Bombyx mori: one gene and its partner. The protein of the gene in region 2 purifies or fractionates together with the protein of the main gene of each other region. This does not show direct contact. Links are inferred from orthologs where the notes say so. Each region holds a gene or a part of one and is shown on either strand. Other genes may lie near its edges. The genes, in order: sarcolemmal membrane-associated protein and ubiquitin thioesterase trabid.

Region 1 (3,831 bases), on a different chromosome or scaffold from region 2:
ACTGATGCGGGGTACCGTAGTTTGGGGGGAATCGGGGCCCTTTCCAAATATAACACAAATTTTCAATGGTTTTTCTTGGGGTAGTACCAATAAAATTGAGATTAAAATAGTTCCGGAGGTTTAAATTTTTATATAAGATGCGTTATTATACATAGTTCATTACCTTTTTTCCTACCTATGCTGATAGCCTTGAGAGGCTATTTCAGCTTCGCCCTAACGTGTAGGTGAGCTCACGGGGCTCAAACCGGGAGTGGCCCGGTTTGACTAACACTGGCCCTAGCAAGAACAGTGCTTCGCAGAATCTACTACCGGATCGGAAACGCGATCCACTGAGAAGATCCGGCGAGAAGCTTAGTGGGCTGTGTGTATGGGTTAATTCGCTCGTCGAGGCCTTTACCGTCAGCGACGGGTTCGACGAGGGCGGTGACCGGAGTTCATTACAAAATATACACAAAAACTGAAAAAATTAGCTTGACCCGATTTACCTTGGCTTTGGGGTGCATCAGGTTACGTATGGAGACAATAGAGTTTTGCGATAGGGCTGGCACTATTTAGTTGTTAGGTAGGTACTTAACTTTAGGTAATTCACTTTTTAATATCTTTAATGAGTTACAAAACTTTGATGACAAATGTTTTCAGTTCAACAAATAAAATCTAACAACTCAACAAACTTCTTACTGGTGGTAGGACCTCTTGTGAGTCCGCACGGGTAGGTACCATCACCCCGCCTATTTCTGCCGTGAAGCAGTAATGCGTTTCGGTTAGAAGGGTGTTGCAGCCGTTGTAATTATACTGAGACCTTAGAACTTATATTTCAAGGTGGGTGGCGGCATTTACGTTGTAGATGTCTACTGGCTCCGGTAACCACTTAACTCCAGGTGGGCCGTACGCTCATCCACACATCTAAGCAATAAAAATAATAAAAACCTCTGTGATTACAGGTCGGTATAAAAATAGTCTCGGCCGACGGCAAGTCCGCTAAAGAATTCGAATTGATACTCAAGAAGAACAATGCCTATAACTCTGAAAATAAAGGTAAGCAGATCACTGTAATTTATATTAAAAAATATTTGATTTATTGTGTTCTGTCATCATTTTGAGTCACGAGAGAATTGTATATGCTATATCGTCTTCTCGCATTAAAACTGTATAATCTCATAACTTACTAATTTTACAGGAGAGTGTTTTGAAGGTGTAACATGTGATATTTTTAATACTAATCATCTTTGCAACATTTATTTTTTATTTTTTACCAGATACATTATTTGTCTTTTAAAGTAAGATAAATTATGAATTAATTTTGTTAATAGTAGTCAAAATATAGGAAAACTAAAAAAAAAAAACTAAAACTAAACTACGCTCTTTTGACATTATTTATGAGAAAAATACTGGTGATACCAAATGATTCCGCATATTAACTCAATTAATGCGAATTAACTTTTAATGCGAAAAGACGATACGTGTAATAATAAAACTAATGATTATATAAAATCGCTCGACTCTGGGATTTACAAATCAAATAAGCATGTTTGTAGATACAGAAAAACTAGAAGCCGAAGAGGACGGCGTCGGTGGTAGCTGCGAAGAGAAATCCAACGAGCCTGACTCCTGTACTGACGACGAGAAACAATCCCGATTGAATCACGGTGAGATTTGCTTCAATTCTAAATTCAAATGTTTGAGAAAAAAAACTAATTCAGTTATTTCCGTTTATCTATTTAATAATACGTGAAGCAAAAACTTTGTATGATTTGTATTTGATAGAGGAGTATGAAATTTTCCACACTTATAGATTATGCAGAGAGGGAGTACAGATTTTTTTTTTTTTTTCTTAGACGTGGTGGTCTTCAGAGTGGACGAGCTCACAGCCCACCTGGTGATAAGTGGTTACTGGAGCCCATAGACATCTACAAAGTAAATGCGCCACCCACCTTGAGATATAAGTTCTAAGGTCTCAGTATAGTTACAACGGCTGTCCTACCCTTCAAACCAAAACGCATTACTGCTTCATGTTAATTATTTTTTATTCTATCTATATAATATAGAAATGAATTGCTGTTCGTTAGTCTCGCTAAAACTCAAGAACGGCTAGACCGATTTGGCTAATTTTGGTCTTGCAATATTTGTGGAAGTCTAGAGAAGGTTTAAAAGGTAAATAAATATGAAAATGCTCGGAATTAAATAAAATTAACAGTTTTGTTTTCCTTTTGATGTCCCCCGTCGGACGGATTCCTTATGTTGAAGTTTATTTTATACTAAAGCTTAGGTCTTTTATTTATCGATTGGGGCACTGTCACGAAGTCTGCCGGGTCAACTAGTTATGCCTAAAAAAGACATTAATTCAATAAAAGAAACATGACACACAACTATAGTACCATATATTTAACACACACAACTATAGTACCATATATTTAACACACACAAACACACGAAACATATACTCTTCGTTTATTGTCAATCTTTTGTTACTGTTTAGTCTGTGGTCAAATTGACCATAGATTAATAGTGTTTATCTTTAATATTATCTGTCTATAATGTAGTCATGGCGAAATTTGTGATTATAGAAAGTAAGATAATAGTCTTTAATTCCATAATAATGTTGAAACTTATAATTACAATTAAATATAGTCGAATTTCGACTACTGGGGGACCACTAGTTATATGTTTAAATTGGCTGTGCGGTCGCCTATCATAGCATCATCTCATCTTTTCTCGGGGTCTCAGTAAAGGCGATTAAAGCTATTTCCGGGAGAATGGATAGCAGCGTTCCCTTAGTATATACTAACTAAAGTGATCGCCGACCGACATTCACTGATAGGATGTGCTGTAAACTCGCACGGGCTTCGAAATGACATTCACTGATGTCCATGGCCTCTGGGATCCGTTTACCACCGGGTGACCCGTCAGCTGTTTGACTCTTAAACATGTAAACAAATTAAAATAATCATAAACACTAATTATGAATACATAAGTACCTTTATCAACATTCAATTGTTTCTGGTTGAGTACCTAACGATCTTTAGTAAAAATTAAAAACAAAACATCCTTATGTATACATTATTTTTATTATTTTTCAATATAGTTCATATAAACACTCAGCGAATATAAAACCAAATCTACACAAGTTGTATTGTCATGTATATCATAATATTACTCACTAAAATTCCCAATTGTTTCCTGGCAGCAGAGATTTGTTTTAAATTTATTAGTAATCCTTTCTTTTTTATGAGCTAACGTTGTTTTCAATAGCCCACAGTTGTCCATCGCTTGATATAGACATGTATATGTATATAGTTATAAATGTAGTTTTTTTTTCTTTCAGAACCCGGACACGAGGAGAGGTCTAGTCCGCTGGATGGTGAGCTGTGCCCAGACAACAACGCTAATTCCACATACACTGAAACTAGTAACCGAGAGGATTCGCCCGTGAGTAACTTTATTGAATATTTGCTAAAAATTTTTTAAATTGCCCTTGTAGGCAGATGAGCACTCACCCAATGGTGCGTGGTTACCGTCGCCTACGGACGTCAGCAATGCTTCTCCAAGTAATAATATTTTTTAATCCAATTAATAACAAAATATTCTTTAGTTTGATAATTATAGCTTTTTTTGGTAGATTAAAATTGGTTGTGAAAAAGTTATGAAAAAAAAATTACATTACTACAATACAGGGTAACCAAAAATCGTACATTTTTCCAATGATACTTTTATATGCATGCAAGGTTATAGTGAAAATTTCGTTAGCGCGATTCAGTAATTTTTAGGATTTATTATAGCTGACGCTACATAAAACATACATTACGTAAAAAATGCAATGTTTATTTGAAAAGC
Region 2 (4,603 bases):
TACATATCTGCAAGTTTCCATGTAAACATGACAAATTGAACAATTGTCCCCACCTACTATATGTTGTATCAGCTGTTCTCAACTACCAAAATTTACAAATATAATATGTTTATCACAAGTGAGTCTGGGAAAACGGTAGAATTGCATCTCGGAGGGTTCAAAATGGGTAAATATTTATAGATTTATAGTACACATGTATTACATATTTTAATTGTACAGCTACATTTTTAATAAATATATCTTAAAAAAATCTCCTATACTTACTTTCACTTCGTATTAAAATTTTCAGTTCAAGTAAGGGTGTTGCAAATTTGTAAAGCGTATGTTAATTTAAGTAAGAAAGGTTGAGAACAGCTCATCTAAGGAGGATGCAGGGCAAAGAGTTCCCAATATTTGGTTTTTTCCAATAGTTTGATTAATTGGTTTTCACCATTCATAAGTTTTCAAAATACTTCACACTGATTACATTTACAATCTGTATGTGAGCAAATAGCCAAGAATAAGTAACTACTTTAGTGAATGTCTCAAACTGTAAAGAATTTTAAGTGTGAATATCAATGGAAAATTGTATTTTGGCTGTTTGTTGCCTTTATGCAAAAAATATTATAATACTAGTGAGCCTCCATATGATAACAACATTATGTAATAGTAAATACTGTCATATACTATTTTTTGTTTGGTACTGGCTCTGGAGCTCAGAGACATCAGCGCCAATGCTAAATGTAATCAGACCTATTCTATTTGGAACAACTGTTCAACGATTTCAAACTACAATGCATTACTGTTTAGAAAAAAAAAACTTGTTCAAAGGAATCCATCTCCCGCTTTACTAACTAGTGATGTTTTTACATATTTATTCCAGGTGACTTATTAATACTAGAAACCAATGATAAAATGTATGAAATTATTTCATGGCTCTAAATAATTCTAATTCATTTTTGTCATTAAGAATTAGAAATCAAAACTTTTATTTATTCTATATTAGATGTTACCCATGACTTCGGTCGTGTGATCAATTAAAGCATGAATTAATTTTTAGAAAGCATCAGGTAATTTTGCAAAAGATAAGAATATAGTTTCCCATCAAGATGATATTTTTTCAGTACAAAATGCAAAGTATAAAAGTAGAGTAAGTTGGCCTATGTCCTGACCTAAAACTTTAAGAAACATCTTGTCAATCTGTTGCTTCGTTTTGACATGAAAGATGGAAAAAATCATTTAACCGACTGCGCAAAAAGGAGGAGGTTCTCAATTCCACTGTATGATTTTTTTTGTTTGTAAGCTCATAACTTTTTACTGGGTGAATCGATTTTGATGATTCTTTTTAATTACAAAGCTGATGCTTCCCATGTGGTCCCATTTTAATTTAGTCTAGTGATAGTGGTATCCATGAGAAAACCATATAAATCTTAATTTTGCATTAGGTATGTGCGCGACAAATAGATGAATAACTCAATATCACACCAACTGATTTCCATGATTATTGTTTTTAGCGTATATGAATTTGTTTTGAAATATCTTTTTTTATTTGAAGTCAGTTTTGTTAAAGCATTTCTAATTACAATTATCACATTAAAATATTAGTATGGAAGTACAGATTCTGTGACCGTTATTGTATTGATGAATTTTACATTGCTACAACAGAAATTTCAATAATTAGCAAAAAGTATTTTATGTTTTAATTTTTAAGTTTAAGACCTATTTATTATTGCTGATAATCTGTAAATTTATGTTTAATTCCAATTGTAAAACTAAACTGAAATTGTTGTGGCCTAAAGGATATAAATACACAGTGTACTCATTTCAAGCAATACAACTTAGCCAGAATTCAAATGCCTCCAGGATCTAGTGGTTTAGTGTAATACTCACATAGCACTTCTTTAAATAACATAAATGAGTCGACTATTATCGAAGCCGGCAATGTGACTTTTGGACAATTATTGGTAAATCAGAAAAACGAATTATTGACTTTGTATTCCATTGGCAGTCACAAAGCTCTTCTGAATGACATCTTAGATAAATAGCAGGTTAAGTATTAACCTTTATTTAATGCAGGTTTTGAACCGTATTCTTTGAAGGAGACGATTATATTCAAATCAATCTGTATTGACATATCAATAACATTTTTTTGTCCAAATGCACAGATTGCCACCTTTGATAATAGACAACTGAAATAAACAAATGGCATCGCTCACACATTTGCTGCAATTCGACTACTTTGCACTACCACATTAAATTCTTTCCATTTTCTAATTATGATTATAATGTATTTGATTTTAGTGGAATTAAGCTTAAATAAACTAATCAAAAAATTGGATAATTTTCTTACCTGTCCAATTTGGGAAATGGTAGTGGCGGCATCCTGTGTGATCGCCTCAGCCCCTGGGCCTGAAGCACAATCAATCCCCACAGACTGTGATGCACTCTTTCTTGACGCATCATTCTTCGCCTCTTCACTCATTGTACACCAATTAGAACATTTAGAGCAAGAGTCGTTCCTACATGGACTATAAAGCTTTCATCATATAAAATACTTCAATATTTGAACAGGTGCTCTTTGCTGCGTCGCCTTGTGTGACCTGAAACAGGCGAAACGTCTTCACTGTGAGAAAATTTCACCTTAGGAATTCAATCAGTTGACAAATAGGGATGCCCATACATCTAACGTTTCTGTTTTATATAGTGCGCAAGGTTGAAGATAGGACTCTTGGCAAGCTGCAATGCAAGATTTTGGCGTCGTTACACAACACAAAACATCGTGAGAGATGCCATAAGGTCAAGTCTATCCAAGCATATCAACGCACTCACGGTAAGAAACGATCAGATCGATCGGACTACTCCACAGTTTGTTTAGTTAACTTGGGACGAAACAAATACGGGGAAGACAGGAAAAACAAATTTGTTAATGGAATTACAGTCAAGTTGCACGGTATTTTGACAAATTTTGGTCATGTCAAATGTTGTCATTCGATAATTGTCAAAAAAATGTTCTGTGCCACTAAAATGTTATCATTTAATTGGCGAAATATTTATCAAAAGATGCCGATTATAATGTGCCAATAGTAAAATAGTATAAAGGTATAGTTTTATTTTGACCAATAACATGGCATCCTAAATGTTTTGTTGAAATGGTTAAGCCAATGAAAAAACGAGACCACCAATTTAATGTCACAGATTCCATAATGTCACAGACTTCATAATGTTCGGAGCTACCGTTCCCTGCACTATGGAGGATGGAATAGAAAAAGTTTCACTATAAATTCAGAGTGTAATGCCGGCCACTGACATGCGCGCAAATATTCGTACATTGTACGAATGTTTGTGCGCATGTGAAGGGCCGTCAAACATTCATTCGCAAATCTAGCGGCTTTGCAAATGGGTTCGCATACTCAATTTGCGAACCCGTTTGCGCTTCCTCCTACACTTGTTTACGAATGTCTCACGAATTTCTCCTCCTTTTTAATTCGTCAATAGAACATTGAAGAGGAAAAGAGTTTTTAATTCTTTCCCAGACATCATTAACAGCCATGCTGTTTTTATGGGATTTCTTTTGATGAAGATACGCTACACAGTAGACGTCACGAACTATGAAAATGGCGTATAGTATACGTCCGTTACCTTCGCAATCGTCGGCGCAACTGGGCAAGCGAATGTGTGGGAGACTACGCGAAGGTTCGAGGTTCGCGCGCTTTGATGTCTGTTAAAAAACCGACACAGCTTGGAAAACCACGAATGCAGCGAAAACTTTGCATAATCATTCGCAAATGTCGTCCTACACTTGTGGGTTTGCGTATTCGTGCGCATGTGAGTGACCGGTGTTAGAATAATCGAGGAATGATAAGATGGTGCAAATGGTAAAAAAATATGTTAGAAAGATATTTTCTATAAATGCTTGTTAATATCATTAAAAATAACTGAATTTATTAAAACCGCGCTAATCGTACTTTAAAGATTAATTGGCCGTCTTCTCTGACTTTTTTTGTTCAAGTATTGTCGAGGTTTGCTGAAGTTTTCAATATTTTTTTGATCTACCTAAGAAATAATTAGACAGTATAAACGCACTTGTTAACAAAACGCTACTAAATTGATCAAAATTAATTAATCTGAGCGATAAAAATAAAAATATCTAGTAAGAGGGGCAACTTAAGGGTGATCATTTGTTTAATTAATTATAAATAAATAAAAGAAGAACAAACAATTTTTACATTCGAACATTAACGAGCAAACGACGAACAAATAATTAAAAAAAAATGCGAAAATAAAAAAAAGAGGGCCAAATTCAGTAAGCCAGGTAGCACCACCCTGCCTATTTCTGCCGTGAAACAGTAATGCGTTTCGGTTTGAAGGGCGAGCTGCCGTTGTAACTATATTGAGACCTTAGAACTGATATCTCAAGGTGGGTGGCGCATTTACGTCGTAGATGTCTATGGGCTCCAGTAACCACTTAACACCAGGTGGGTTGTGAGCTCGTCCACCCATCTAAGCAATAAAAAAAAATGTAGCGTGCTCAAGATCACAGATTAGTATATTAGTTAGCTTAAGATCAAGGTCTAAACAAGCGCAAGAAATGTGCAATTGTCTATAGGACTTTACTTTTGCAATG

The links.
Region 1: the proteins of ubiquitin thioesterase trabid (region 2) and sarcolemmal membrane-associated protein purify together in Homo sapiens (affinity purification with mass spectrometry; 3 studies listed by BioGRID and IntAct, with this or other methods). This does not show direct contact. The link is inferred for Bombyx mori from reciprocal best matches to the Homo sapiens genes ZRANB1 and SLMAP.

Annotation. Positions count from the first base shown.
Region 1 is NC_085114.1:11,199,259-11,203,089, reverse strand, and holds part of sarcolemmal membrane-associated protein, read left to right. Parts: intron 1-941; coding exon 942-1,035; intron 1,036-1,535; coding exon 1,536-1,646; intron 1,647-3,322; coding exon 3,323-3,426; intron 3,427-3,831. UniProt on the Homo sapiens protein: Associates with the striatin-interacting phosphatase and kinase (STRIPAK) core complex, forming the extended (SIKE1:SLMAP)STRIPAK complex.
Region 2 is NC_085132.1:7,267,053-7,271,655, forward strand, and holds the start of ubiquitin thioesterase trabid, read right to left. Parts: upstream 3,072-4,603; 5' UTR 2,809-3,071; intron 2,800-2,808; exon of another isoform or gene 2,716-2,799; 5' UTR 2,660-2,715; intron 2,580-2,659; 5' UTR 2,462-2,579; coding exon 2,330-2,461; intron 1-2,329. UniProt on the Homo sapiens protein: Ubiquitin thioesterase, which specifically hydrolyzes 'Lys-29'-linked and 'Lys-33'-linked diubiquitin. Also cleaves 'Lys-63'-linked chains, but with 40-fold less efficiency compared to 'Lys-29'-linked ones.